7 linked regions of the Ovis aries genome follow. The protein of the gene in region 4 interacts with the protein of the main gene of each other region in a pairwise test. Links are inferred from orthologs where the notes say so. Each region holds a gene or a part of one and is shown on either strand. Other genes may lie near its edges.

What was found.
Region 1: the proteins of BYSL (region 4) and PNMA2 interact in binary tests that used the Homo sapiens proteins (3 or more experiments, as listed by UniProt). The two-hybrid records come from large-scale screens. The link is inferred for Ovis aries from reciprocal best matches to the Homo sapiens genes BYSL and PNMA2.
Region 2: the proteins of BYSL (region 4) and LZTS2 interact in binary tests that used the Homo sapiens proteins (3 or more experiments, as listed by UniProt). The two-hybrid records come from large-scale screens. The link is inferred for Ovis aries from reciprocal best matches to the Homo sapiens genes BYSL and LZTS2.
Region 3: the proteins of BYSL (region 4) and PDE4DIP interact in binary tests that used the Homo sapiens proteins (3 or more experiments, as listed by UniProt). The two-hybrid records come from large-scale screens. The link is inferred for Ovis aries from reciprocal best matches to the Homo sapiens genes BYSL and PDE4DIP.
Region 5: the proteins of BYSL (region 4) and KRT40 interact in binary tests that used the Homo sapiens proteins (3 or more experiments, as listed by UniProt). The two-hybrid records come from large-scale screens. The link is inferred for Ovis aries from reciprocal best matches to the Homo sapiens genes BYSL and KRT40.
Region 6: the proteins of BYSL (region 4) and LTV1 interact in binary tests that used the Homo sapiens proteins (3 or more experiments, as listed by UniProt). The two-hybrid records come from large-scale screens. The link is inferred for Ovis aries from reciprocal best matches to the Homo sapiens genes BYSL and LTV1.
Region 7: the proteins of BYSL (region 4) and MID1 interact in binary tests that used the Homo sapiens proteins (3 or more experiments, as listed by UniProt). The two-hybrid records come from large-scale screens. The link is inferred for Ovis aries from reciprocal best matches to the Homo sapiens genes BYSL and MID1.

What each region holds. Positions count from the first base shown.
Region 1 is NC_056055.1:39,169,696-39,174,381, reverse strand, and holds the start of PNMA2 (paraneoplastic antigen Ma2), read right to left. Parts: upstream 2,885-4,686; 5' UTR 2,825-2,884; intron 1-2,824. Other genes in the region: DPYSL2 (dihydropyrimidinase-related protein 2), read left to right, coding at 3,302-3,655.
Region 2 is NC_056075.1:21,595,190-21,599,866, reverse strand, and holds the start of LZTS2 (leucine zipper putative tumor suppressor 2), read right to left. Parts: upstream 3,083-4,677; 5' UTR 2,983-3,082; exon of another isoform or gene 2,713-2,982; intron 2,490-2,712; exon of another isoform or gene 684-2,489; intron 309-683; exon of another isoform or gene 208-308; intron 120-207; exon of another isoform or gene 1-119. UniProt on the Homo sapiens protein: Negative regulator of katanin-mediated microtubule severing and release from the centrosome. Required for central spindle formation and the completion of cytokinesis.
Region 3 is NC_056054.1:97,759,582-97,764,022, forward strand, and holds the start of PDE4DIP (myomegalin), read left to right. Parts: upstream 1-1,261; 5' UTR 1,262-1,655; coding exon 1,656-2,777; intron 2,778-4,441. UniProt on the Homo sapiens protein: Functions as an anchor sequestering components of the cAMP-dependent pathway to Golgi and/or centrosomes.
Region 4 is NC_056073.1:15,720,988-15,725,540, reverse strand, and holds the start of BYSL (bystin), read right to left. Parts: upstream 3,056-4,553; 5' UTR 2,897-3,055; intron 2,714-2,896; 5' UTR 2,710-2,713; coding exon 2,442-2,709; intron 1-2,441. Other genes in the region: MED20 (mediator of RNA polymerase II transcription subunit 20), read left to right, coding at 3,252-3,265. UniProt on the Homo sapiens protein: Required for processing of 20S pre-rRNA precursor and biogenesis of 40S ribosomal subunits. May be required for trophinin-dependent regulation of cell adhesion during implantation of human embryos.
Region 5 is NC_056064.1:40,929,645-40,934,227, forward strand, and holds the start of KRT40 (keratin, type I cytoskeletal 40), read right to left. Parts: upstream 2,921-4,583; 5' UTR 2,919-2,920; coding exon 2,472-2,918; intron 1,637-2,471; coding exon 1,554-1,636; intron 134-1,553; coding exon 1-133. UniProt on the Homo sapiens protein: May play a role in late hair differentiation.
Region 6 is NC_056061.1:68,485,531-68,489,890, reverse strand, and holds the start of LTV1 (protein LTV1 homolog), read right to left. Parts: upstream 2,827-4,360; 5' UTR 2,664-2,826; coding exon 2,661-2,663; intron 1,686-2,660; coding exon 1,554-1,685; intron 690-1,553; coding exon 516-689; intron 1-515. UniProt on the Homo sapiens protein: Essential for ribosome biogenesis.
Region 7 is NC_056080.1:8,465,139-8,467,768, reverse strand, and holds part of MID1 (E3 ubiquitin-protein ligase Midline-1), read left to right. Parts: intron 1-38; coding exon 39-387; 3' UTR 388-2,630. UniProt on the Homo sapiens protein: Has E3 ubiquitin ligase activity towards IGBP1, promoting its monoubiquitination, which results in deprotection of the catalytic subunit of protein phosphatase PP2A, and its subsequent degradation by polyubiquitination.

The sequences.
Region 1 (4,686 bases), on a different chromosome or scaffold from region 4:
AGAATCATTCAAACATTTAAAATCAACTTAATACGGGTTTAGCAATATAACTTGCTAAATATGCTTTATAATATGCTTTAACATAATAACATAGATACAACTTAATATAGGTTTTACAATCTACAAAAAACTCAGAGCCAAATAAACTTGAAGTTATAAATTAATTCTCTTTGGTTATGCCTGGTTATGCTTTGCAAATGCACAACTAGGGGTTTTCTTTTGCTATAAATGTTAAGTTAGTAACACAATGCTTTCTTCCTAGTATCTGAAATTGAATGGGTCATTTGAAAAGCAAAGAAAAAGACAGGAGGCACATCTGTGAAGAAGCGGTGGAGACTGGCTGATTTTAAAAGGGAAGAGCTTCTATCTCGAGTTGTCATGGAGTATTAAGTGGCTACGATCATTCTTGCCCTAAAATTCTCCATCAGTCCAAATGGGGTCCATATGCCACAGATACCAACTTGCAGCTAAAGCGGGGGAGCTGCTCCTGCTGCAGGCACATTTCCTGAGTTCTGGAAGGTGCTGAAAGGAGGTGCGTGTGCCAGAGGGCAGGGAGGGCAAAATGCTGGAGAGTCCTTGCCCAGCAGCCCCAGGGATCTGAGTACATTGACTCCTCCCTCATGCCTCATGACCCTCTTCTAAGATATGGGGGTGACCTTCCCGGTTATAATATTTAGAGGAAACAAGAGATGTCAAAAGACATTGCATACACAGGAAGAAACACCTCTTAAGTTCTTACATAACTGTCCCACTCAAGTTAGGCTATCTTTGAGTGGCTTCTTCCTCCAAAGGCTATCTCAACCTTCAGTGCAGCCTTCCAGATAGAAAGACGGCAAATGAAATGCCCCTGGTACACCATAAGGCCAGTGAAAGTGTTAGTCACTAGTCATGTCCCACTCTTTGTGACTTCATGGATTATAGCCCTCCAGGCTCCTCTGTCCATGGGATTTCTGAGGCAAGAATACTGGAATGGGTTGCCATTTCCTTCTCCAGGGGATCTTCCCCACCCAGGGATGGAACCTGGGTCTCTTGCATTGCAGGCTGATTCTTTACGGTCTGAGCCACCTGGGTGCTTCAGGATAAGACCAAGATTGGAAATATTTGGATAGGGGGAAAAATGTGAAAATCTCACATAAAGATAGGATAAAGTGGAAAAGGAACTAGACTTTCAGGTGGAAGACCCCACTGGATTTGTTGGATCATTTATATAGTCACCTTGGGCAAAGCATCTAACTCTGTTTCCTACCCTGGAAAGTGGTGATAAGGAAGCACTCATCCCAGGGGTCTGCTAGGAGTAGGAAATTTAATTCGTGTGGAGGCACTTTATTCAGATGCAAAGCACATCTGGTGCCAGGTCCAAACGCCCCGCCTCTGCTTCTCTCATCCCCTGCACAGGTATGTTCCTCTGTCCTTCCTTCTCATCCTATCATGGTGGGCTTATCTTCCAGCTGGGATTGGTTGTCCTCTAAGTTTAACTCCATTCACCTTTCCCTGGCAATTGTGGAGGAGGGTTGGGTATCCGCATTTAGTCCTTCCAAGGGCAAGGGCTGACAATGGGACCGAATCTTTGGTTGCTCAGCCGGGCACGACGCTCCTGTGGTTAACAGTTTCCCAGTCTAAACCCGCCCTGATCACTGAGCATGCCCAGAGCTCCTTCTCGAGCTGCCAAAGGATGGGCATCATTTCTGCAGGGTTTTGCCACTGTGGAGAGAGGGGCGGGGCTGTAATCAACCCTGGGTAGGGACTGAGACGTGGAAAAGACACGGGGAATAGCAGTAAGCAATGAACGGTCCTGGGAGGCCGTGTTACTGGCCTGATGTACTGGCGTTACATCAAAATGCCCCCTGGATGCCCACTAATCCCATGGCTGAGGCTGATCTACCCGTGCATACACACCACGTCCCCATACACCTTTCCGCTGCTTGGCCTCACACAATTCAAGGCAACCATCACAGCCGCGCCCCACATGCTGATCCTGCACTGGACGCGCGCGCACTAGCGCCCAGGCACGCGGCTTCTGGCAGCCTAGGAAACCCCGCGGCTCTGGCGCAGTGCGCTACAGGGGCTGTGGAATGAGGCGGGGCGCCAGTAGGGCTGGAGATTTGGCGGGGTGGGCTTCCATGTGTATCTTTCCCCCTTTGGCGGGAGGGAGGGGCGGAAGATATCAAATGAAGACCTTCTGCCGGACCCCTCTTGGCGCAGTGGCGCAGCGACGGTACACGTCGCCCTCGGCCAATACCGCGCACCCGCATCCCCTCTCACTATACCCTTAAGTTGCCGCGCTGGGCTGTACCTGCCAACTCCTCGCCTTGCTACACTTGCACAGACTGTAGATCTATTTCCTGTCTCTACACCCACCCACTTCGTATTTGCTACGCCCTCTGTATCTCTCCCTGCCACGATGCGCCCCACCACCACCACTGTGGGAGCAGTAAGTGAGAATCACGTTTCAATTTCTGCTCCCAGTGTTCCACCACGGCCGGTGGTTAGACCGAAGCTCTAGTGTCCTCGCGCCTCTCACGGTCCCCTCTCTTCCGCGCGGCCTGCGCCATCTCTTCTCCAACCCCAGTGCCGCCCCTCCTCTCCCCCGCCCCTCCACCATGGGTGTCCTGGCGCCCGCCAGCGTGTGCCACTTTCCCCACCCATCAGCTCACACCCGGGGCAGGGGGAGGGAGCCCTCCCCACGGTGGGCACTCGTCGTGGGCCCACCTCCGCAATGCGGTGAGGAAGAGGCGCCTGGGCCGGGCAGGTCCGGGAGAGGGGCGCGGGGACCAGGGACTGCGCCCTACGATCTTTGTCCCCGCGTGCCCTGCCGGGTACTCACCGTGGCGCCCAGAGCGGTCAGCGGGCCCTCCGCTGCGCATCCATTAGCCGGTGGTCTGGCAGCTTCACTTCCGGAGCGAGGCCCTCCCTGGCCTCCCCGGCTCCTCGCTCCCCTCCCCGGCGCGCCGCGCCCCGCCTCCGCCCCGCCCGCGCCTCGCTCCTCCCGCAGCTGCCGGGAACTGGCAGCCTCTCCGCTCTCGCTGCCGCAGCGGCCACCCGCCCAGACCCAACTTTGCTGCTCGCGGGAGCTGGCGGGGGGCGTGGGCAGGGAGGGAAGAAAGCGGGGTCAGGGGGAGGGACCGTGAGGGGTGGGTCGCTCGCTCGCCAGCCCTCCTTCCTTTTTGTACACCTTGCGGTAGGCAGAGAGCGGCAGCCGCGGCTGCAGCCGGGGCAAGGGGTTTGTGCCTAGAGACAGGCAGACGTAGGGACTGGCAGACGGACGGACGAACGGCAAGGACCCTCCCCGAGCCCCCACACCATGGCTGAGAGGAAGCAATCCGGGAAGGCGGCAGAGGACGAAGAGGTCCCTGCCTTTTTTAAAAACCTGGGCTCAGGCAGCCCCAAGCCTCGGCAGAAATTCTGTGGCATGTTCTGCCCGGTGGAGGGGTCCTCGGAGAACAAGACCATCGACTTCGACTCGTTGACGGTGGGCCGGGGCTCGGGGCAGGTGGTGGCCCAGCAGCGGGACGTCGCACACTTGGGCCCCGACCCGCAGACGCCCTACTCCCGGCAGGGCCGGCGCGCCGGCGGGGAGCCATCTGTTGAATCGAGCAGGAAGGTGGAGATTCGGCGGGCCTCGGGCAAGGAAGCTCTGCAGAACATCAACGACCAGGTTGGTATGGGTGGTGGTCGGGGGAGCGGTGTTGGAGACCGAGAATAGGGCGTGGGGATCGCCCCTCCCTCGCCCCCTTCCAGCTCGGCGGAGAACCGAGGATCCCAGCGTAACCCACAGTCCTGCCCCGCCTCGAATATCGCTTCTTGCAGGTGCACACACACCCCACCCTGCCCGACCCCTCTCTGTGCTCGGGCTCGGTGGTGGGCGGCCGTGCGTCCACAAAGGCTGCCCGCGCCTCCCTGGGCCTGGGAGGTGGAGGATGGGGGGTAAAGGATGGGCCTATCCCCTACTGGGGAGGGGGTAGCATAGTTGGAGGGGGAGGGGACGGGCCGGGTTTCCATTCTTCTTCAATCCTCCCGGGTGGCTTCCGATTGCAGCCGTGGCTGGATGCCCCACCCTTTTTGATGCAGCTCCGAGCATGCAGTGGAGGGTTCGCGCGGAGGCCAGCGGGCTCCCCCGGGGTCGGGAAGGGCGGGGGCCTCGACGGCCGCTCCCCGCCGCGCCCTGCGCACTCTCCCAGCGCCTCTCCTGGGCGCCCTCGGCGCTCAAGTCCCGAGCTTGAGGTCAGGACCATGGCCAGCGCCTCCCCGGACCGCAGGGGAGACTATCTCATCACCCTGACTCCTGTTCGCAGCGAGAGAAGAACCCAGGAGGCAGTGGAGTCACGCGAGGAGACAGCGACTCTCCTAAATAGCCCATGTGGAGAACAGAGTTCTGCTAAGTATCTGAGCAAGGGCGTCTCAGAGCGCTCCCCCCACACCCCGCCACTATTTGGGAGGGCTTTGGGGATGAGGACTAAGTGGATTATAGTCAAAGGGTAAAAGAAAAGAGAAAAGCCCTCACATTTTGAATAGATTGTCATCGATGAATTAGACGCTCCCCACCCCATACTGTGTTAAATGAGGAAACAAAGAAGACCAATTTGGTAAACCGAATTTCAGAAAATGTCATCTCTGGGAAATAAGTACAGTGTGCATTTTGTCTTTGCATACCACATGTGCTTTCCTTTATCAGGGTGACCTTCATAC
Region 2 (4,677 bases), on a different chromosome or scaffold from region 4:
CCAGCGGGATCAAGTCTGAGATCACGAGTTTCCATTACAAGACAGGAAGCCGGGAGCCCCCAATCCGCCCTCCGGAGTTCACCCCCCTCCTTCCGCCTCTTCCAGAAAGTGGGGGCAGCTGTGGAATGCCGCCTCCCCACGGGACCTCCGCCGCGCAGAAGTTGGGGGCGCCCCCAGGTCGCCTCCCAGCCCCGGCCCCCCCCTCACCTCCACCGCGCCGCTCCATGCTCAGCCCCGGGCCGCCCCCAGCGCTCCACAGGCGCGCCGCGCGGCTCCAGCCTGCCGCGCGCCGCCACTCGGAGCGGCCCGGTCCGACCCGGCCCCGCCTCCGCGGCGCCCCCAGCCCGGCCTGGCCCCCGCCCGGCCCAAGTGGGCGGTGCAGCGCGGGGGAGGGTCCGAGGGGTGACCCCGCCCCCGGGGCGCGGACACGCGCAGGCACCCGGCGTCACGCGTGTCCGGCGGGGCGCACGCTGGAGCTACGCAGCAGGACTCAGATTCCCTCCCTCCGAGGAGCGATGGCTGTGTGTCTGGGGCTCGGTCGGTTCAGGACTAGGCGGTGGCGGGTCACCCTTTACCCTTACTTGGGCCCCGGGGCCAGCGGCAGCTGGTCATTGTTCGAGCACAAAGGGCCAGGCGCCGCGGCAGCCGCCCTTCCCCCTCCGCTCCTCTAGTCGATGCCTCACCCCTAGGCACACTCTCCGGCTTCAGAGTCCAGAGAAGGAGGTTGGGGGTCACCTAACCCCCAAGTCTTGGCCCTGCGTCCTGGCACAAGTCGGGGGCCGACGCTTGGTGGGTGCCTGCCCCACCCCCAGCCGCTTGCAGAAGGCACGCTAGGATTTGCGGAGGCGGCGCCACCTGGCGGCCCGTTCGGAGAACACAGCCACCCCCAAACTTGGGGGGCCCCTACCCTTCTCCCCAGTGCTGTACTCCCTCTCGGGAGAGCCCCGGCCTTCCTCGAGCGCGGTTCTTTGCTCCCCAACCTTCCCTCAGACTCATTTGCTAAGAGGTAAATGCTCAAGAGAGAGACGTCCCCTGGGCCCCCAAAAGTCACCCCAGTGGGGGAGCTGGTCCAAACCTACAGGCCAAGCTTACGCCAGCCTCACAGCAGACAACGTTCCACTGTCTTCTCAGGGTCAAGAATACTCTCACCCTCTGGCAAACAACACAATCTAAACACCCACACGACCTTTCCCACACTCAGTCTCAGACACAATCACTCAGTCTGTCTGGTCCATCAGAAGGATCCATGTCCCTTCTTGCCATAATCAGGCCAACTCAGAGATACACACTTGGTATCACGGCTAGTTGTGCACAAGCTTTCACAGCTCAAGTTCCTTTGCACCCAGTCACAGTCTTGACTATACTTGCCTCCCAAGCTTTTTTCACACTATGACAGTCTTTTTCACAGTCACAAAGACAACTTTTTAAACATACACGTCGTATTTCACAAACATTTTATCACACAGACTTTCCCATAGGGGTTTCTGTGACCTAACCAGGTCAGCTGATGCCCGCATCCCTGGGCAAGGACAGCCTCCTGCCCCCTAACCCCGCCCCCCAGAACTAAGGCCTGCCAGAGCTCCTCTGCCCCAGGAAGGAGCATTCCCCCCGCCCCGCCCCCCCCTTCCAGGCCGCAGCCTGGCCGGCTCTCAGTTCTATTTTTAGCTCCATGGAAAGAGTTGTTTTCTTTCTTTTTCCCTGGAAAGGGAAACATAGCCCAGCCACCCTCAGGCTCACCCTAGACCCTCTTGCCTCACAAGTACAGACTGAGCCCCACCCCCATAGAGACCCCCTCTTCTGGCCTTGCCCTGATCCCAGCCTCCTGGGGCACCAGGAGCCTCCTCCCCTTTCTGGCAGCCTGCCCAGAAGCTCAGGCAGCAGCTGGGCTCAGCGTGTGTGGAGGGGTAGGGAGGGTGGTGGAGAGGGAGGCCGAGGGCCGCTGCCCACTCTCATTCGCTGGGGGGAGGGGGCCGTGCTCCCTTCTACCAGAGGGAGACGGGCCCACTCTGGTATAGAGAGGATGTGTACGGTCATGCATTCTCTGGGGAAGGGGGACTCCTACTCTTGCGTGAGTGGGCTTTCTGCTCCTACTTTGAGGGGAGGAGCTCCCAGTGCCGCAAGGAGGAGTGTAGTAAGAAAGGGGACCCACAGGCGTTCGCGCAGATGCTCCCCGGGGCTGGAGGTCCCGGCGGAGGCTGCTGTACACTGCCAGAATTGCCCCCCTCTCGGGTATCTTCAGGAATGGGGGCAACATGTTCCGGAGAAGGAAGGTGAGGAGCCCAGGTAACCAACCCTCTCAGTCCAACAGTCTGTTGTCCTCCTTCGCTACCCCAACTCCGGGGGGCGTTGTGCTCCCATTCCTGGGGAAGGGCTTATCCCCTCCAAGGGGAGAATGGAATACAGCCCGGCAATGTATCTTTCAAACTCGCTTAGTACTGCGGAGGGAGGTTCCCGCCGCGAGGCTCCCCCCGTACAGCCCACGGGTCTGCGAAGCGATCACGTGCTCAACGCCTGTTTACGTCTTAGTCTTCACCTGCGGGCAGCAAGGAAGCCGGAACCTCCGGAGGCGTCCCACCTGGCCCGCCCCCGTCCGCGGTCACTGGGAGGCCCTTTTCTCCCACCCTCACCAAGTACGCGACGGCAGCACACCCTGCCCGCTGGGGGTCCGCGCGGGCCAGCGGCGCTGATCCGCCAACAGCAAGCGAAACTCACTAGGCGCGTCCGCCCCGCAGTGCACGTGTATTCAGGTGTCTCCAGTACGCGCGTGGGTCTGTGTGCACGCGTGTGTGCGCCCGTCGGTGTGAGTTTTCGTGTAGGTTCCCTGTTCAGACTCTTCGCCCGCGGCCCCTGGACTGAGGACCCGTCTCTTCACCCCAATCCCCGGCTTCCCGGGATCGGGAAATTTCACTCCGGGGCGGGGGTGTGCAGGAGGCGAGAGTTCCTACACCGCCGCGGCGCCCCCACTCACTCACCCAGCGCTACCTTAACCGCCGTTCCAGCTCCCGCTGGGCTCCTGACCCAGGGCCGGCACCTCCTGGTCGCAGATCCGCCGGCTCCCCAGCGCGCTCGGCCCGGGCTTGGTGGAGGGGGCGGGGCGGCTGAGGCCGCGCCCCCGACCAAGGCAGGGGAGTGGTCTGCCCAGCACCCCCTCAGCAGCAGATCTGGTACCCTGCCAAGCAGTGTTGCGACGGTGGCCCAAGACTGCCCCTCGGACTTCTGACTTCGCAGCTTCTGGAACTGGCTTTCGATCTAGGAAGGGGCCAGCGGCGCCACAGCTAAGCTAAGCTACCTGGCTGCCCTAACCAAGTTGGCTATAGGGCTTTACTGCCACTATCCTCTGGTCTGTAGGGAGCCCAGCCTGGTCCACTCTCAGCCCACTCCCCAGACACAGGGAAAACCCCTGGGAAGCAGACGAAGAAGGCTCGGATTTCACCGAAACAGACCCCACCCTTCCTCACACACCTCTGAGGTTGGGGCTGCTCAAGCAGAACCAACACCTCCCCCTCCCCTGGAGTAGGTGTCTGCCCGGTGAGCAGGCTTGCCAGTTTTGCCCCCCGCCCCCCACCAGAGTGTAGTCAGGCTTCTCTTAGACTTATAAAGTTCCACCCACAGGCACAAACAGGAAGTTGACCTGTATTGCACCAAAGGGTCCCTCCCTCCATGGCACCCAAGGCAGCCTGTGGGAGGGCAGACCGTGATGTCTACAGGTATTTGGGTCATATCTGCAGCCTGAGTACTTGGGCAGCAGGAGCCCTTTGAGTTGAGTCTCTTCTGAGACCCATCCCCAGTGAAGGGATGGAGGACCAAAGCTGCCCCCTTACAGGCAAGGGGGTTAGAGAATCTGAGGACAAGCCTGCAGATCCAGCTGGATTCTACTGGGCCAGGCTCTCCCTCAGCTCTCAGGAAGATTCCAGTTGGGCACAGGCCGAGTACTGGTTCTAGCCCAGGCAGTTTGCCTCAATCCTCTTAGGTGGGGTATAGAAACAGTGACTCCTAGGGACCTTACATAGGACCCAGGGATTAACTGCTACTTTTTGGGCTCCAGGGGCTCTTGAAATACTTTGGGCTAATTTTCACGTGAGGGGTTTAAGACAGGTGTGTAATGGAATGTGTGTGTGTGTGTAGGGGTGGGGCTGGGGGATCATTAGCTTCCCCTCCTCCCTACCATTCTGGTTTGCTGTGTAGGCTGTCTGCTAGAAGGGTGGGGCAAGACAGGCAAGTGTGTATCTATCCCTCTATCCCCAATTCATAGACCTCATAAAAGTCTCCTTTTGGAAATCCCTGAAAGATTTCCTGAGCACAGAAGACCAGAATGTGGAACCCACATCCTTACAGGTAGGACTGACCTGGTAGTGTGCATCTGGAAGGCATGGCTGACGTTTAACGTTATAGACCCTGGATGAGGCCTAGACCAGCCAGCGGCTGGGAATGATTACTGCAGGATTAGGAGGACTGGCTCCAGCCAGTCTGGGAGAGACCCCCAAGAAGGGAGGCCCTGGAGGAGGTCCCCCTTCCCTCCCCCTAGAGAACAGCTTTGTTCCAGGGTCTGTTTCAGGAAACAATTGTAGTCACAGTTCTCACACACAACAGACCAGAGACCCCAAACCATTCCACAGGGTTCCAGACCTCCCTCTTAGGTTGATAAGGAATGCTTGAAAAGGCAGCCTTGCTTCCAGG
Region 3 (4,441 bases), on a different chromosome or scaffold from region 4:
AGAGGCTTTTTAGCTCCTCTTCACTTTCTGCCATAAGGGTGGTGTCATCTGCATATCTCACAAGGTCAAGTTAGTGAAATCTGGCATTACTGTAACTGGGAAATGTCCTGCTCTGGGAAAACTCCAGATGATTGCCTGGGACTGTTTTTCCTCCTATTTGGAGTTTGCCAGGGAGAAAATTATAAATGAAGGATGACACCTCAGTTCCACCTAGAGAGAGCCCCAGCTTCCCTCTACTCTTTGTGTGCAATTCAAGGTCTATACCCAAGGGTAGGGTGACTTACTACTGGATAATGTTGAGTAAGACAGGATACTAACTGAAGTCAGTTAAATTCCCAGCCCCACTTCTGCAGAGAGCAGCACTCCCTGATACTTTGGAGTCTTGCTCAAATAAACAAGGTCTTTTGTTCTAGAGTTTGTCTCCCCTTCCCTCCCCGAAAATAAGGCCTGCAGCCTTATTTTAAGTGAAACTTGAAAGAGGGTTTGCTGGCGGCAGTCTACTCTCAGGTGTCTACATTCTTGAAAAAGCTCATTTTGTCCGGCATCTTCAAACTCTTGGTAAACCATTCGTGTGGTTTTTGTTGGACTCTTTCTCAGGTGACTGCTTTGTGCCGCCTCTCAATTTACGCTCTAAAAAAAAAGGCAAATCATCCTGGTAAACTCAACCCCAGCATGGTGAGGGAAGAAACACTTGTCCTCTTTTCTGAGTACTCCCAACAGTCCAGAGGGAGGTTGAACTGAGCCTCCTAAAATTCCCGCCTCCCCGGCCGCGGGTGAAGCCCTAGGGCCTTTTACTCCAGGAACAGGAGTGAGAAGGGAGAGGAGGTGGGGCCGGAGAGAGGCAGCGCGCAGCGGTACCCAGTGGTGCTGCGAGACTGCTCCCTCCAGAGTACGTGGCAGTCCCCGTGGACAGAAGGGGAGGGGATTCGGCTTTCTCCTCCCCGTGCAGAGCCTCGGACAGTCCTCCCGGGCGGGAGGGAGGAACCGCAAGGGGACTGGTGCGCTTTTGGAGTGAAATTTTAGCAGATAAAAGTGGCCTGGCAGCGGTCGGCCTCCGTCCCGCTCTTCCACCTGGGTAACCACAGCAGGTCGAGCCTGCGCTGTACCGCGAGGAGCATTGACTTGTTCGGGAGCGAGGTGACGCGCTGGCCACCCCGCATGCGCAGAGCGAGGAGCCGGCCTCCTGGACTACAGCTCCCAGAGGAGTTTGCCGGCGGCTGCAGGCGTCGAGCCGCCGGCGCCATCTTGAAATCTGATCCTCAATCTCTGAGTCTTTGCGTCAGCCGCGGGCGGCAGCCGGAGGACCGCGAACTCAGCCCGCTGAAAAGGGAGGACATTGAGGACACAGCGGCTGGCGGGAGAGACAGCTGGAGGAGACATGGCAGGTTCTGAGCGCGGCCTGCGCTGCTGTCACTCAGCATCCTCCTGAGGCATTTCCTCGCCCGCCGCCTCCCCGAGGGGCGGGGCTGATCACTCTGGTACCCAGAACCCGCGCGCGGGTGTCAGCGGAGCGCCCCTGCAGAGTGGGCACCCCACCAAGCTGTGCCATGCCAGCCGGAGGCCACCGAGGCGGGAGACGGAACGCAACCAAGCGCCAGTGAGCGATCACCGAGCAGCAGCCGCCTCCGGGAAGCTCGGCCACCGCAGGAGGGAAGATGAAGGAGATTTGCAGGATCTGTGCCCGGGAGCTGTGCGGAAACCAGCGGCGCTGGATCTTCCACACGGCGTCCAAGCTCAACCTCCAGGTTCTGTTGTCGCACGTCCTGGGCAAGGATGTCTCCCGCGATGGCAAAGCTGAGTTTGCTTGCAGCAAGTGCGCGTTCATGCTCGATCGGATCTATAGATTCGACACCGTCATTGCCCGGATCGAAGCCCTTTCTATTGAGCGCTTGCAGAAGCTGCTGCTGGAGAAGGACCGCCTCAAGTTCTGCATTGCTAGCATGTATCGGAAGAATAACGATGACCCTGGCTCAGAGACCAAGGCGGGGAATGGAACGGTTGACATTTCCAGCTTACCCGATGTCAGATACTCTGCACTGCTCCAGGAAGACTTTGCCTATTCAGGGTTCGAGTGTTGGGTAGAAAATGAGGATCAGATTCAGGAGCACAGCTGTCATGCTTCGGAAGGCCCCGGAAATCGACCCAGGAGGTGCCGAGGCTGTGCAGCTTTGCGGGTGGCTGATTCTGACTACGAAGCCATTTGTAAGGTACCTCGAAAGGTGGCGAAAAGTATTTCTTGTGGCCCCTCTACCAGATGGTCCACCAGCATTTGCACTGAAGAACCAGCGTTGTCCGAGGTTGGGCCACCAGATTTACCAAATGCGAAGGTACCTCCAGATGGAGAAAGCATGGAGGAAGGGACCCCGGGATCCTCTGTGGAATCTTTGGATGCAAGTATCCAGGCTAGTCCTCCACAACCAAAGGATGAGGAACCTGAGAGAAGTGCAAAGGAACTTGTAAAGTGTGACTGCTGTTCAGATGAACAGGCTCCCCAGCATACGTGTAACCATAAGCTGGAGCTAGCTCTTAGCATGATTAAAGGTCTTGATTATAAGCCCATCCAGAGCCCCCGAGGGAGCAAGCTTCCTATTCCAGTGAAATCCAATCCATCTGGAACCAGGCCTGGCCATATCATGACAGATGGAGTTAGTTCTGGTTTCCTTAACAGGTCTTTGAAACCCCTTTACAGGACACCTGTGAGTTATCCCTTGGAGATTTCAGACCTGCAGGAGCTGTGGGATGATCTCTGTGAAGATTATCTGCCACTTCGGGTCCAGGTATACAAAATGGCTGCATATTGCCTTTCTGATTAAAGTTAGCTGGCTTCAGGCTTCACATGATTTCTATCTAGGGGAAGGTTAATAGTCTAGACTTGGTAACCCATTTTTGCTTTACCTTTTGCTTCTGTCCATTTTAATAAATGTGATTCACACAAGTAATTTGCTTTCCACAATAGCCTCTTTATAAGATTATCTGTTGGCTTTCCCACTAATTATCAAAATTGTACATGTTTAAGACAAAGATTCATAATTCATTTTTACCCTAAAAAAATTTTAATCTTATTTCTGGCACTGGAACTCTTTCCTCTCACTTGTCCTACCGCCTCTCTACTTTTGTCTGTTTTGTTTTCACTTTTAGATTTATGAATATTTTCTTCTCTGAGGGAGGGAGTTCTCAAGTTAGTCCGCCCTAGAGCATTAAGCCATTCATCCCCACCTGTGCCTTGAACTGATTAGAGCATAGGGTAAAGGTTTGAGGAGAACCTATTAATCCACCAAAATATTGTAATATGTGGACAACATTTATAAATTAAGAGGTCATTTGAGGACTAATGATGACTTTTTCATAAAAGAGACTTGGGAATTCAGAATTTAAAATGTTAAGGCAAAACGTGTCTACAGCCAGTTTGTATAATGAGCTCTATGTGAAGATGTTTGGTGTTGAGCAGGACTTCATCCATTATTGGGTGATAGAGTTTTACCTGTTTTACTCGTGAATTTCGTAATGACTGGAAGATGGCAGTTGATCTTACTTTGAGCTGTTCATACCAATCTTTTAAATTCAGTTGTGTACAGGGGCCTGACAGATGCTGTCTTGTTTATACAGCAGCAGTAGTTTCAGTTAATGTTGTGAAACATCTGGCATGTTCTACTTGATATAGATTCTTTAGTGATACCGTTACAGAGGTGGACAATCTAGAAGGTGTTTCTGGAAAGCTTGCTAACCAGTCAACATCATCCCAGAATCTTAGAGCTTCTAAATGAAATTGTTGATTGTCACTTGACAGCTTTGAAAAACAGTTCTATTATGTATAAAATTTGCATCACAGTAAGAATATGGGAGAAATATTTTTGAATTTGCACTAACTTGTCAGAAACAGCATTGTTAGGGAAAAGTATGAGTATCCAAAAGTTTAAACTGTGTTTTCATTTCTATAAAATGTTTAGGATGCCCAACACTTGTGTACTTTCCTTTCGCTCCCTTTTCTTTCATTGACCTTCACAGCTAAATTTGAGCTTTCCAGTACAGTATTTCTGTGAGCCAACATAGATGTCACAGATTCATCGTAGTGTTTCTGTATTAGGATCTAAAAGTAGTTGGACAGAGTGGATGGGAAATATGACCAATATAGTAGAAATATAGCCCCCTTCAAATATGGCCAATATTGAAGAAAGGTGAAGACTTAAAAAACTGCAGTAAAGCAAAAGTTTTTTTCCTCCCTATTAAATTTAAAATACTCTGTTGGTGCCTGGGCTCAGCAAATTTTGAATTGAGAAGGATTCTAAAGATCATCTCAGGCAGTCTGTCAGTTTAGAGATATGGAAAGCTCATGGTTAAATAACTTAGCTCAGGTGGAGTCAAAAGTTCCTAGCATTCTCATCCAAGACCTTTCTATTCTGTGTATTAAATCACATTGCCTGATGGCATTGATTTAAGTAAC
Region 4 (4,553 bases):
GTGATGTGTTGCAGTTTTTAATGGGGTGGTCAGGATAGGCCTCTCTGAGCAGGTGAGGAATTAAGGGAGGAAACCAACAGGAGTACGAGGACAGAAGGACCTGCCAGGGTGAAGGCCCTGACTCGCCATGTTTAAGGAGCAATGAAGCCTATATGGATGGACTTGAGTTGATGACACCATCCAACCATCTCATCCTCTCTCGTCCCCTTCTCCTCCTGCATTCAATCTTTCCCAGCATCAGTCTTTTCCAATGAGTCAGCTCTTCGCATCAGGTGGCCAAAGTACTGGAGCTTCAGCTTCAGCACCAGTCCTTCCAGTGAATATTCAGGACTGATCTCTTTTAGAACTAGCTGGTTTGACCCGGATGGAGAGAAGAGGGCAAAGGGAAAGGAGCAGGAGAGGTCAGACTGACAACAGGTACAGATCATATAGGTCTCTGTAGATCAGGCAATCCTGAGTTGCTGAGTGGAGAGTAGACTGTGGCAGATACGGGATTCTCGGTAAGAGGCTACTGCAGTCACCCAGGTGAGAGATCACTGTGGTTTGAACAGGATGGTGTTCCAAGATGGTGCCAACTGATCTGATTCTGGATATATTTTTAAGGCAGAGTCAACAGGACTTCCTAATTGATTGGATATGGAGCGAGAAAGAGACAAGTCTAGAGTTTTCTGCCTGGAGCAAATGGAAGGACATCATGTCATTAATTGAGATGAAGCAGACTGGGAGTGGAGCAGGTTTGGCAAGATGGTCAGGATTTCTGTTCTGGACATGCTAAATCTGAGATGTTTCTTAGACTTCAAATTGGAGAAGCTAAAGAGAGAGCTGAAATATAAGACTTTGGGTTTCATGGAAGAGATCGAGGCTGGAATATGAACTTGGAAGCAGTTACCAAACAGACAGTATTTAAACCTCAACCCTGATGACAGCACCAGGGAAGTCATCAGAGGTGAAGAGACTAGCTCCAAGGATGTAATGCTGTGGCACTACAGGAAGAGGCTGGCAACAAACGAGAAGTCAGCAAAGGGAGCTCCCTGGTGGCCTAGTGTAAGGATTCTGGGCTTTCACTGCTGGGGCTCAGGGTTCAACCCCTGGTAGGGGAACTGAGATCCCACCAGCAGGCGTCGGAAGCGGGAGAATAGGAGCCAGCAAAGGATACTGAGAGGTGTGTGCGTGTACTCAGTCGTGTCTGACTCTTTGTGACCCTGTGGACTTTTCCTGACTATAGCCTGTCAGGCTCCCCTGTCCATGGGATTCTCCAGGTAAGAATACTGGAGTGGGTTGCCATTTCCTTCTCCAGGGGATCTTCCTGGCTCAGGGATTGAACCAACATCTCTTGCATTGGCAGGTGGGTTCCACCACCTGGGAAGCCCACTGAGGTGAAAAACTAGCAAAACAGGGATGTGATGTCTTAGAAGCGGAGTAAAGATACTGTAGCAAGGAGGCTAGTGTTTGTGAACGCTGCTGCTGCTAAGTCGCTTCAGTCGTGTCTGACTCTGTGCGACCCCACAGACGGCAGCCCACCAGGCTCCCCCACCCCTGGGATTCTCCAGGCAAAAACACTGGACTGGGTTGCCATTTGCTTGTCCAATGCATGAAAGTGAAAAGTGAAAGTGAAGTCGCTCAGCCGTGTCCGACTCTTAGAGACCCCATGGACTGCAGCCCACCAGGCTCCTCCGTCCATGGGATTTTCCAGGCAAGAGTACTGGAGTGGGCTGTCATTGCCTTCTCCGTTTGTGAATGCTGCTCACAGACAAATGAAAGATGAGTGTTGAGAAATGGATTAAGCAACTTGGAGGTCAACACTCTCAGAGTAATAACGAGAAAAATGACCATCTTTTAAATAATCTCGCTCCCTTTCTAGTCCTGAAACAATATTGTTCTTTGTGCTCAGAGCACTCCCTACTTTTCAGTTCTCAGCACAACGGTCATGCAACCTGGGAAACCTGACTCCCAAGACTAATGCTATTGTCAGAGAAGCTATACTTTATCACGAGTGCATTATTCTAATTGCTTACTTAATTCTTTCTCTCGGGCTACACTGGAAGATCCTGACGTTAGGTATACCTTTACCCTGTTTACAGTTTTTTATCTAAACCATCTAAACTCCTAGCACGGCGGGATGTGCGTAGTAGACATTCCATGATTACTTACAAAACACGTAAATAAATGCCAGGAGAACTTAGCGGCGTGAGTAACCACTTCCTGCTGGCCTAACCTCGGTGATGCCTATAAGAGTGCCACTCTAAGGAATGGGCGTGGAGGGCTCCGGCAACCCTCAATCTGCCCCAGAGCTGGGTCTCCCAACCCCATTACCTTTGCCAAGGGCCTCAGTTTTTTGTTGTTGTTGTTTTTTAATTCCAAGTTATTCCCCTGCCAGACACCTTTCAGCCGTCCGCCCCAGCTACCCACCCTCCTCCTCGTACCCCATCCCCCCCACTCACCCAGCCGCGTGGTGCGCTCCCGCGGCACCGCGGGCCTGTCCCCGCTCCCATGCTCGGCCTCGAGCTCCTCTTGCTGCTGCCGCGCTTGCTGCAAAATCCGTCGGGTCAGCCGGGGCCCCACGTACTCTTCCTCCTCGTCTCCGGTTCCGCGACCCCGCCGTTTTTCTCGGGCTCCTGCCCGCACCGCGTCACCAGCCAGGATCTGCTCGGCCAGCGGCGCATGCTTCTCCTGACCCCCGGCCGAGCGGGCCGCCTTGAACTTGGGCATTTTTCTAGAAAACCAAGCCGTGAAGTTTCCCACGTGGGTATGGAGGAAAAAAAGGCCCCGAGTGCGCTTGCGCGGTAAACACCCAGCGCCCGAGAGCCCACCGGAGCTCACAGCGCCCCCTCGCGTCTGGAGGCCGGGTGTGCCAGAAGCCCCGTCCCACCCCCCCCCCCCCCCAAAAAGAGCTCACGGGTCCTGGAGCTGGGTCCTCCCGAATTTAACGTTGTCTTCTCTAAGTGGTTGTAGTCCGAGATACACTTTCCTAGTTTCATGGATCTGGGTCCAGGGTGCCCAGGCGAATGGGAATTCCCTGACCGGCGAACCAGGGGATCGGGGGCGGGGCGGAGTCGGGCAGTGACCTCACCGAAGGACCCAGACACGCCCTTCCTCGTGGGCGTGTCGACTGGACGCTGTGTTTTTACGTAAGTTCCGGAGCGCCTGCCTCCATTGGAGCTCGCTTTAGCGAGGTGGTTTCTCCTCTTGTGGGCTGCTGGAGCACAGCGCATTTCACTTGTTTGATCCTCCCATCTTCCTGGCACGACACCATGGGAGTGACTTGGTAGGACTTCAGAGGACTTTGTGGGGCGGGGTTTGGGGACTTGAAGGCCCCTGGAGCCTCGAATATACCCGGGAGGAGGATCCCGACCAGGGTCCACAGTCCCCCGGAAGATGAGCAAAATGTCCTCGGATTGTGTAAGTGAGGGGGCCACCGCGAGGGCTGCAGAATCTGCAGGCCCCTTTCCTCGGAGATTCGCCCCTTCTTCCTGGAAGGCGGCAGGAAAAAGGGTTTAAGAACCCGTTAATGATCGTGTACCTCCTTCCTTTTTTCTTGATACAATTTCTTGACCGTGAAGCCTGGGGTAGAACTTTAGGGTTGAAAGTAGTATGTCGGGACTCGGACCCGTCTGCAGGCAGGGCTTGGATGGGTAGGGGATAGGCAACAAGGAGATAGTATCTTTTTTAGGTTTTTGCCTGCCCCTCCTTACAGCCACTAAATGCAGTTAGATCAGCATGTGTCTGGTTCTAGTTTGGCCTTTGTAAGATCTTGAGTCTGGAGGGAAAAAAGGAGCTGTTGGGAATTAGGAGATAGGAATTACAGGCACATCACCTCTTCAGGGTCTGTTTCCTATTCTGTTTAATTACCTGGTTGGTTTAGTTTTTATGGACTTATTTTAACACGTTATAAGTCAGTGTGGCAGGGAAAGGTATGGGCTTAATTCTCTTCGAGTCATTTAGTTCCAAAATGCTAGATTTCAGAGCTTTAAAATATATATATCTTGAGCATCTCTCCCAGAGAGGGCTTAGAGGCCAGGTTATCTGAAGGCAATGGCTCTAGGCTTCTCATGTAAGAGCCTGTGGGAATTCCTGGTAGCCCAGGTCTTGCAGATTTGTCAGTGACTGCACATTTGCTTCCTGAAGCTGGCATCATGAGCCTCCTTCAAAGTCCTGTAGTGTAAGAAGGGTGCGAAGAATGGGAATGAAAAGTTTGCTAGGGTCTTTCATGACAGTCCAGTGGTTAACATTCCACGCTTCCACTGCAGGAGGCACCTTCTACTTCAAGGGGCATGGGTTCAATCCCTGATTGGGGAATTAGATCCTGTATGCCTTGTGGCGCAACCAAAAAAAAAAAAAAGCATGCTGCAAAGAGGCGTGAAACCCTGGAAGTACCTGTTCTCTCAGGGCAGAAGGCAAGCAGGGAAAGGGCTCTCTCTTGGGATGCTTCGCAACTTTTTCAGGCTTCTAGGACTTCTGACCCCAGTAGCATCACCTTAGGGATTCTCTTATATTTCAAAATGAGGCACATCATCATCATTACTTGTTAGTACTTTTTCTGATGGAGATTAGAG
Region 5 (4,583 bases), on a different chromosome or scaffold from region 4:
AAGGAGATCATCCTTCAGAGACTCTACATGGGCCTCCAGATCAGATCTGCATACAGTCAGCTCTCCCAGAATCCCATGCAGGCCACTAATGTCAGTCTCTACCAGCTGGCGAAGAGAGAGTTCAGATTCGTACCTTTTACAGCAAAAGAGATACAGCCAATGCTTACTCTGCTGGACACTGAGAAAAGTGCTGAGCCCTACAGCTGAGGGACACATGACATCAAGGAACCCACATGCCATAATTTCTTCTACATCCAAATCATGAAAAATTCAAGCTTTGTGAGCATTCTTAGCTTGAAAAAATATTATAAAGGGAATCCTTGTGATGTGTGCATGTAGGTATGTGAGAGAAGAAGCGGAAGAGCCTACCATATGTTAAGTTCGAATTCAGATCTGGTCTTACTCTAGCTTGTACTTGCTTCTAAGTCCACAATACAAGCAGCTCATACAGCTCAATATCAGAGAAACAAATAGTCCAGTCAAACAAAATGCGCAGACTTAAACAGACATTTTTCCAAATAAGACATACAAATGGCCAATAAACACATGAAAAGATACTCTACATCTCTCATTATTAGAAAAATGTAAGTCAAAACTACAATGAGGCATCACTTCACACCAATCAGAATGGCTATCATCGAAAAAATGATAAGCAATAAATGCTGGAGAGGATATGCAGAAAACGGAACCTATGGCACTGTTGGTGGGAATATAAATTGGTATGGCTGCTATGGAGAACAGTATGGAGATTCCTTAACAAACTAGGAATAAAGCCCCCATATGACCCAGCAATCCCACTACCAGGTATACACTCTGAGAAAACCACAGTTCAAAAAGACAGATGCACGCCAGTGTTCATGGCAGCACTATTTACTGCGACTAGGACATGGAAGCAACCTTGACTTCCATTGACAGATGAGTGGATAAAGATACATACATTGATACACACATACATAAAGATACATACATGTACATGCATGTATGTAAAGATACATACATACATTGAGATAATACGTACAAATGGAATATTACCCAACCATAAAAAGGAAAAAAATGAGTCAGTTGTAGTGAGATGGATAAACCAATAGCCTATTATACAGAGGGAATCATTAATAAGTCAGAAAGAGAAAAACAAATACTGTATATTAATGCATATATATATATGGAATCTAAAAAAATAGTACTGATGAACCTATTTACAGAGAGGAAATGGAGATGCAGATGTAGAGAATGGTCTGGTGGACACAGCAAGGGGAAGGAAAGGGTAGGACAAGCTGAGAAAGTGACTTTGACATATACGTACTATCATGGGGAAAATAAATAGCTCATGGGAAGCTGCTGTATAACACAGGGAGCCCAGCCTTGTGCTCTGCGGTGACCTAGAGGGGTGGAATTGAGGCAAGAGAGGCTCAAGATAAAGGGGATATATATATATATTATATATATTATATATATATATAATTATGATTGGTTCATGTTGACATATGGCAGAGACTACCACAAGATTGTAAAGCAATTTCTTGCAAGGAAAAAAAAGTTCAAATTAAACTTACTTTGACCTAAAGTCATCAGCAGCCAGTTTGCAGTTGTCAAGCTGTACAGCAAGTCTACAATTTTCTGCCTTCGTACACAAGATCTGGGAAGAAAGTTACTATGTCATGAATGGTTCTTTGAAAGAAACCCACATATCTACTCATTTAATAACTATGCCAGGGTTTATCTTTTAAAAGTCTTTATAAGAAAATATAGGCCTTCAGCCTGCTTTTACTGACCATATCATTTCATGAAGGAAAAAGGAGGGCCAATTTATAAACAAAATAGAGAAATAAAAAGGTTGTTGTTTTTTTTTTAATGACTTAAAAACATTTTTGCAGTATTCCTTGGCCACTGAACTTAGGTAGATTTCTCTCTAGGAGTTTATATTATGACTACATCTCCACCCATGATAATAAAAATTTATCAGTAAGAAAAAGACATAATTACCAGGTAAAATTATATGGTTAAAAGATGACATTTCCATATCTATGTTAAATAATGTACTTGTACAGTGTTACACGCAGAAATAATTTTAGATATCACACTGCTTTTCCTCAAGGTAAATTTAGGGATAAGCGGGTTTATTGTGGTCATTTAGTAATTAGCGGCAGCATACAGGCTAGCGCTGATGTTTACTGACTTTTTCCCCCTCTATTCTTTTGGGCCATGCCGCATGGCACGTGGGGTCTTAGTCCCCCACCAGGGATGGAACCTAAGCCCGCTGCAGTGGAAGCACAGTGTCTGAACCATTGGACCACCGGTCACCCTGTTTGCTGGCTTTTTGTCCAGTACCCTTGCCTCTACATCACATTCCCCCTGGGAAGCCCCTCCCCTTTCCCTGGTTTCCCTCCACAGAACAGACTCTTGTAGTAGTAGAAACATAAAGCACATCACAGAGTGGGAAGGTGGAACATTAGGGTGATGGGATACTAGACCTTTTGCTGGAGATCTTCAATGGTGTCGAAGTAACACTGATAATCAGGGCACACCAACGGGACATCCTCTTCACTCTGTTCCCGGATCCTGCATTCCAACTCAGCATTCAACTCCTCCAGCCCGCGCACCTTCTCCAGATAGCTGGCGAGCCTGTCATTCAGGAACTGCATCGTCTCCTTCTCGTTACTGTTGAATGCACCGTCCTCACACCAGGCACAGTTCCCCAGCACGCCCGGAATATTACAGCTCCCCGCAAAGCAGGACGGTGGGAGGCACCCAGTTGGCAGACGAGACCCGGATAGAAAGCTGGGGGTCTGGCAGCTGGATGTAGCACAGGCGCTGGGGAGACAAGTGGTTGCCGCGGAACAGGTTGAGGCAAGCGCACAATCAGAAGCCCTGGCACTGGATTCAGAAGAGCAGCCCGTGGGGGAACAGTCAGAAGCCATTCTATCAGAAGTGAAGGGCAAAGACTAGTTGCAAAACTCCAACTGCCCGCCTCCAAAACTCTCATTCCCTCCCGAGACTTTTATATATACCCCACTTCAAATGGGTATTTACAGACTACACAGGATGTTTTCCGGTGCATTTTTCATATGAACATTCATTAGTGTTGTTTATTTGCTGAAGAAGAGTTTTATGCTTCGTAAAAGAGCCATAACTTCAGGTTTCTAAATAAAGACACCATCTCCATGTGCCAATAGGATAAAGCACTTGTTTCAGAAAATCTTCACAGGAAGCATTGTCCTTTTGACAGAATAAGGAAAGAAAGAGAAAATTTGGGCAATCAGTAATTATAGATACAACTGATTACACATAAAGGAAATCATATCCCTACAGATTTTGATCCTGTGCATTGAAAACTGCTCGTCTTCTTTTGAAATTAATGTTACAACTCATTTAAATGCTATTTATTTGTTTGTGCCCCCACCATAAAAGTGTTCTGTGTGATTAGCCATCTTCAATGCTTTTTGTGGTCTTGCTGTGCTCACATGGTGGAGGACTGAGTGTATACTGAATTTGAAGTGTGTGTGTGAGAACCATACATGCCCATGTGCAAACTGAAAAGTCACTTTACATAACTGATGGGCATCACTTTTGCCCTACATGCCAAAATATAAATTGGTTATCAAAACGTGGAGTTGTAATCTTTGATTTCCTGAAACTTGCCTTCTCTACTTTTCCTATGCTTCACTTTTATATCAGAGATACTGATTTTTCATCTGTATCTCTAATAAGAATGAAATATGAATTCTGTTATAATTTTTTAGTCTCAGGAAGCTAAACCTTCGTTAACTACACTTCAGTATAGAAGGAAGAAAGTTACAAAAGGCATTTCTTCTGGGACATGGAAGCTGTTTTCTCAGATTTACTAATTTATTTAATTTTGAAGGCCTCAATTTCATGAAAATTAAATATGCTGGAACTTGGGAATAAAAGTCTTTTGTATGAGTTCCAGCAATTCCATTGGATGAACTCCCTGGGGCAGTACTGAATGGATAGGGATCTGAGATGTAAGTTTTCTGGGTTCTTTCTTAAGTTTTATCTCCAATTTTCAGTTTTCTTGCCTTTGATTGTGGTATTTATTTCATTTTAAAAAGTGTACAGAGAAAATTGTCTGCAGAATGTTAAAGATCTTTATGGGGTGGGTAGCCCATTACTCCGACAAAGTTAAAATTTTCATGATCCAGAATAAACAATTATTTTTTAACTCTGAGTACTTCTTCCTTAAATAGCTGATAATGGGAAAACAACCAACCAACCAAAACCAAACCTGGAGACTTAAGATAGAGGATTAAAATAGTCTCTTAGAATTTATTATTCATTGAGCAAAGTTGGTTTTGATTTTAGTAATTCTCCTTATATTTCAACACTATGCTAAGAGTTCTTAATTGTATAGAAATTAGACATCCTTTTACTCTTTGATACCCTCTTTTTAATGTGGGTTTTCCCCTCATTAAAAAAATATATTCTATTGATCTTTGTTAATTCAGCAGTTTGACTATGATATATCTAAATGGTGTGTGTGTGTGTGTGTGTGTGTGTGTGTGTGTGTGTGTGTGTTTAGGTTGTATTTATCCTGTTTGAGATTCTTGAATTTGTGATTTACTGAA
Region 6 (4,360 bases), on a different chromosome or scaffold from region 4:
GCCTAACCGTTTTGACTTTTCTTAAGCAACAAGTAGGGACTGGAGGAGCTTATGATCACATCTTCCCCAAGGAAAAAGTCTAGACCATGGCAGGACTCGCGATGAGAAGTAGGGGAAATTGACGCTCTCTGTATCTCTCCTTTCTGTCTGTAAGCCCAATATATTCCTCTTTTTTTTTTTTTTAAGTGCCAAAAGTGATATAAAAGTTTCACAGGAAAATTTACTGTACACTCATACTAAACTAAAAAGAAGGACTTCCCTGGTAGTACAGTGGGTAAGAATCTGCCTGCCAATGCAGAGGACATGGGTTTGAGTCCAGGTCTGGAAGATCCCACCTGCCACGGGATCAGCTACGCCCATGCTTAGAGCCCATGAGCACCAACTATTGAGCGCAGATTCAGTTCTCTAGCTGACACCAATTCTTGCCTCAAACAGTTACCTTGATTTAAAAGTGATGGTTTACTCACTCACGGCCCTTCACACACACTCACACTCAAATTGCTAAAAAGTCTTACTGAAGTTACTAAAGGCTCTTCTCTCCTATCTCCCCTGTAAGGTGCACCGAAGGTACTTGTGGGAATGAGCTCCGAGGGGCCAGATGGTTCCTTCAGGTGCTGCAGGTAGTCATAGTCATCGTCAAAGAACACTCCATACTTCCTCTGCTCTGCTCGCCTTTCTTCATCTTTTATCTAGGGTAATAAACAAAACGGACATAGTAACTGTTCCAAGGATAAAACCCAGGAAACTTCCAATGAGCACAACTTTCAGAACAGGGGGCAGATGACCCATGAACACTCTAGCTGATAGGAATGAGACAAAGACTTCTTGACAAACTCAGGAAACACAGGATGCCACATAAAATTAAAATGGAATGAAAATAGTTCCTCCTTCCATTAGACACTTCTGTACAACAATTCAAGCCAAGAAACACACACACACTATTTTACCAGGTTATGTGGAGAATTAAAAGACTAGGGCGCACTGAAAGGTAAGTACAATTTCCTGAATTTATATGCAAAGAAACTTCTCAAGGCATAACACCAATTGGCTTTACAACAAAGCTGAATATGCCTGGGTTCCCCAATACTTCCTTCCACATTACCCACACTTAACAAGTATACTCTGACTGATAATTACCAAATCGACCTCTTAAAAGCTCCCTTGCATTTTCTAAAGCTAACTCATGAGTTTTATATTTCATGAGATGACCAGGAGGCAAAAATACAGTTTGTGGTTATGAAATGCCAATATCTCATGGAAAGCAAAGACTGAGCATATGGTTGTGCCCTAAATAACACCATAAAGCATTGTTGCTGATGGATTAGTAAATATCTTCCATTACTCTACAAGAGTGCTCACTTAAACATCTCCAATAAAAATATTCTCTCAACAAAATAAACATGCATGATGTAAAAATGAACATATTTACTGAGAATTAAATCACATATTTTGTTTCCCAGAAGATCAGTTATCTGAGAACAGCAGCTGACTAATATAATTAAAAACAATCAACAATCCACCTACAAACTTACTGGCTATAGAAGAGGACCTACCTTCTGTGTAGGCAACAGAACCCTCTGGGGTGCAGTCTCATCTGCTGCTAAAGGATCTCTTTGGCTCCTGTGGACCAGGTGAAAAGACACAGCTTTCTTCTTCTCTATAAAGGGTTTTTTCTTCCTATGAGGCTTCAAAGAAACAGAATCACAGTAATAAATCAGAACAACAACAAAAAACAGTGATTATACCCCCCACAGGCATCTTCAATAAGTTATGGGAAGGATCAACAGACTGTCAAAACTTGCACTTTCAGGGCAGGAAACATCAACTATGTTAAAAAAAAAAAAAAGAAAAAACTACCTTCCTTCAATAAACCTTTTTGGGGGAGGTACTCCGTGCCAAACCTAGTTACCAGTGCTGGGAATATGGCGATGGGAAAGTTAAAGTTCCTGTTCTCCACAGGCAAATCACCAAGAACCGGGTTTCAGGTGAAGGCAAGCAAAACGAGACACAGGAATGGGTAACGACTCATCAGTTACTTTAAAGTAGGGGCTCAGAGGAGGTCCCTGAGAGTCTGAACCAGAATGGGAGTCCACTACAGGAAAATCTGAGGAAGAGTTACAAGCAGGAGAAACACTTCCTGTACCAACTATTAAAACCATGACACAACAGCCGAAGTTGAAATACAGGATTCACCATCGTTCTACCTTCTCGTTTCACTGCTCAACCTCGAGTTTATAGACTGAAAGATCCTTCCAGCTGAGTAGGCCCAATCTTGGGAGCTCGTCTTCCCCAGAGTAGACAGACGAGCGGACACCTGCCACTGCAACGTCTGGAGACACGAGCAAGCCCCTCTCCGCCTGACGTCACGAAGCATGGGTGTCGCATCTGTGTGCTCTGTTATAGGTTCTTAGGCCTCTAGGAGGGTAAAGCGTAGGCCATCCTCTTCTGTCTACTCCACAGGCACGCTAGGCCGTAGAAGCCCCGCTCTAAACTGCAAACTATGCCCGCGGTGGTGAGGGTGACCCAAACCGGGACCATGGGCCCAAAGCCGCCTGCCTTTACCTTCGGACGTGTCATCCCAGTTCCAGGATGCAGAAGCCATTGGCTTAGGGGACCCAGCCTGGCCTCTGCCAAACCAGGGCGCCCCAACTCCTACTTACCATGCTTGCAGCCGCGCGGCGCTCACGCCAAACAGGGACGACAGCACTCTCCTAGTCGGACGGACGGTGACACGGTACCTCCCGAACGCCTCTGAGAATCAGCTCACCGCCCAGTCTTTAACTCCACTCCACACGTGCGGCTCCAGGAACCGGCTGGAAATCACTCAGCAGGCCGTGGAAACGGACCAATCGCCGAAAGGCTGAAGGATCACGACCGGAAACTACGCAAAGTTCACGCCGGCTCAAGGATCGCGAGAAGCTATTGGTGGGTGGGGCTGTTTCCACTCACGGGAGGGCGGGGCTCTTCTGTCCGCAAATAAATCAGCTGGGGAAGGGACTCGTGGACGCTTGTGTGAGATGAGGCGCGAGAGGGGGTCGCTGTTTATGGGCGAACTTGCTTTTATATCGCCCTCTGCTGAGAACAGAAGCCACGGATCTAGCATCCCCATTGACAGTTGTATTTCCTGACTATTCCTCGCCGTAAACAAGACAAACAGAGCACACAAATAAACTACACAAAAGAAAGGTGGCCCCTCTCCTGGGTCCCCGACATTTCAGGTTCCCTTTTTGGGTGGGACGCAAAGCAACGGAGGAGCCTCAGTTCAGTCCCTCAGCCGTGTACTCTTTGCGACCCCATGAACTGCAGCACACCAGGCTTCCCTGTCCATCACCAACTCCCAGAGCTTACTCAAACTCATGTCCATGGAGTCGGTGATGCCATCCAACCATCTCATTCTCTGTCATCCTTTTCTCCTCCTGCCTTCACTCATTCCCAGCATCAGGGTGTTTTCACATGAGTCAGTTCTTCACATCAGGTGGCCAAAGTATTGAAGTTTCAACTTCAGCATCAGTCCTTCCAGTGAATATTCAGGACGGATTTCCATTAGGATGGACTGGTTTGATCTCTTTGCAGTCCAAGAAACACTCAAGAGTCTTCACCAATACCACAGTTTAAAGCATCAGTTGTTTGGTGCTCAGCTTTCTTTATGGTCCAACTCACACATCCATACATGACTACTGGAAAAACCAAAGCTTTGGCTAGACTAGACAGCTTTGTCTGCAAAGTAATGTCTGCTTTTTAATATGCTGTCTAGGTTGGTCATAACTTTTCCTCCAAGGAGTAAGCATCTTTTAATTTCATGGCTGCAGTCACCATCTGCAGTGATTTTGGAGCCCAAAAATAAAGTCTGACACTGTTTCCCATCTATTTCCCATGAAATGATGGGACCAGATGCCATGATCTTCATTTTCTGAAATGTTGAGCTTTAAGCCAACTTTTTCACTCTCCTCTTTCACTTTCAAGAGGCTTTTAGCTCCTCTTCACTTTCTGCCATAAGGGTGGTGTCATCTGCATATCTGAGGTTATTGATATTTTCTACTGGCAATCTTGAGTCCAGCTTGTGCTTCATCCAGTCCAGCATTTCTCATGAAATGGGGCCTTGCTATTTCTAGGCAGCACTTAGGCTTAATCAGGTCTTTATTTTCCACTTAATGAACTGTGTTCAAACATCCAGTTAACAACCTTTCCCCCCAACTCTGTTGCCAGTCGAGGCATTCAGACTAATATATTCAGAATCTCTTTGGTGTTTGCATACCTTAGCTTAGGAGGTGGAAACTAATGTTTATTATTTTTCAAGCTATCCCTCAAACATTTGGTCATAGTTTGAGCAAAGGCTATAAGCATATCTACTTAGGGCTTC
Region 7 (2,630 bases), on a different chromosome or scaffold from region 4:
GGCTCATGGTTCTCGTCATTGCTCTTTTGCGTCTGCAGGTACGCCATTGGCCTTGCATACAAGTCAGCCCCAAAGCACGAGTGGATTGGCAAGAACTCTGCTTCCTGGGTGCTATGCCGCTGCCACAATACCTGGGTGGTAAGACACAACAGCAAGGAGATTCCCATCGAGCCAGCCCCCCACCTCCGGCGCGTCGGCATTCTGCTAGACTACGATAATGGCTCCATCGCTTTCTATGATGCCTTGAACTCCATCCACCTCTACACTTTCGACATCACATTCTCGCAGCCCGTGTGCCCCACCTTCACTGTGTGGAACAAATGTCTGACCATCATAACAGGCCTTCCCATCCCTGACCATCTAGACTGTACAGAGCAGCTGCCCTGAGCACGTGGAGCTGGTTTCTGGGGGATATAAAGGGTGGTGGCCACCATTTTGGGGACTGAGAAAGCACAGACTTCCAAAATGTGGTTAAATCTCACAACAAGCATCCAGAAATCAGCTAAGATAGGATTCCCAATGGGTGATTCCCCCCTTTCACTGTGTTTTGTATTAAGTACAGGCTTTAATAATTTCTTCACCCTGTTTTTGTATTTACAGGAAAATTTATAGATTATTTATAATAGGAACATAACCGGGGATTACAACTCTTAGGAATTCTCTGGTTTTGCACATTAGGAGGCCCGTAAGTTTTATCAGTTCTTGACAACCTTTATTTTCAGCACAAGTCTCTGAGCTTGAGAAACAAGATCTTTTGTAGTTTGTGTTTCTCCACCTTCTCACATCCTCTTTCCTACAGATCTCATGGCAGGTCCTGTCACACCAACACTGTGTAACAATATGCCACTATTTTCAAACTAAAAAAAAAAATAGTTTTGAACCTAGTAGGGAAGTCAGCAGGCTTTCTGACTGGTTTCTTGTGAAGCATTCTGCAATGTCAGAAGGATTTATGGATCAAGTAGCATGGAGAGAGCAACAGACAGGAGGGAAAGACTTGACTTGGGAGCCGGGGATCTGCTAATGCAAAACCCGTAATTACCCTTCCATGGCTGGTAGGATGATGCTGGGAGAACATGAACAATGAGATTGCAATTGAAAAAATTCACCTTGAATCCTACTGATGATTCAAAAATTCAGGCCGATTTGTGTTTTCTCGGAAGTGGGATTCTGTGTCACGATAGAAATCTATTTCCTTCTTCCTTTTACTAATTTCTTTAGGCCTGTGAAGTTTCTCCAGTATGTTTACTAGCTGTCCTGTGTCCCACTCCCCCTGAATAATTTTTGTCACTGGGGCTGAGGAAATAAACGTTTTCTGTCACAAATGGCAGCACCGCTTTGGATCAGTTTTGCTCTCTAGGACATCAACATATGGCCCCAACCGCCAATACCACATCCAACCAAAAACCATTAGTATTTATGAGTTGGTAATGACAAGGGACATTGCATAAAGTACTCTTCTCTAGTATATGTGCTTCAGAAGTTATAATAAACAGACCTTTAAACACATCTCGAAAGATGTAGAAGTCCCTCTATATTCTAGTATAGTTAAATAGAGTTGTAAGAAAACAAACAAACAAACAAAAAACAAAAAAAAAAATCAAACTCTCTATTCTCACTTTGGAACCTGCTAGTAGAACCTGCTAATATCATGTCAGATACAATGCTCAGTGTGCTGACCTAAGACATTGGAGTGGTCCATGACATAAGGCTTTTTTGCCTTCCCTGGTGGCTCAGTGGTAAAGACTCCATCTGCAGTGCAGAAGACCCAGGTTCGATCCCTGGGTCAGGAAGATTCCCTGGAGAAGGGAATGGCAACCCATTCCAGTATTCTCGCCTAGAGAATCCCATGGACAGAGGAGCCTAGCGGGCTACAGTCCATGGTGTCACGACTGATACTTTCACACTAAGCCATCCTTGGACGCGAACCAGGAATCTGGCAGTGGTTCTACCTTGATGAAGGGCATGACATCTCTCAACCATTTCATTTGCTAAAATATTTATCTGGGCTGCTGGGGTGGCCGTTTTGACAGACTGGGGGATTTAGACACTGTTTTTATTGGTTTTGTTTTTGAGCAAATCAACCAATTGTTTCAGCATCGCATTATGTGATCGTGAGTCTGGGTTTCAGGGGCAGCTTCCCCAGGGCTTCTGCCTCTACACTGGCAGATGCATTCCTTTTTCTTAACAGATAGATTCTATATATTTACTATATTATTTATACCCAGATGAATATTTTGATAGTGACTTAGAACAATTTCACATCTAAAAGATGGATGTCTCAATGGAAAAAAAATTAATCTCTGCCAACTTAATGGAATTTTTTCTTTTTACAATAGAAAAACAATGTTCATTAGGCTTCCCTGAATAAACCAAAAGGGTTGGCTTAATAATTTTTACAAACTTTTTTGGTAGCTAAATAATGGATATTTTCATGCACTTTGTACACTAACAGGTTTTAAATAAAAGGGTCTAAAACTCAGCTTCTGAGATTTTTTAAATCATGGTCTCCAGGTACAATAAATGCTCCAGTTTGCCTTATGATGTTAATCTAAAGCATTTATGAGGACAATATTGCCACGAATTATAATGCTTTTTCAGTTTAAAGAAGTTACTACTCCAGTTTTCACTGC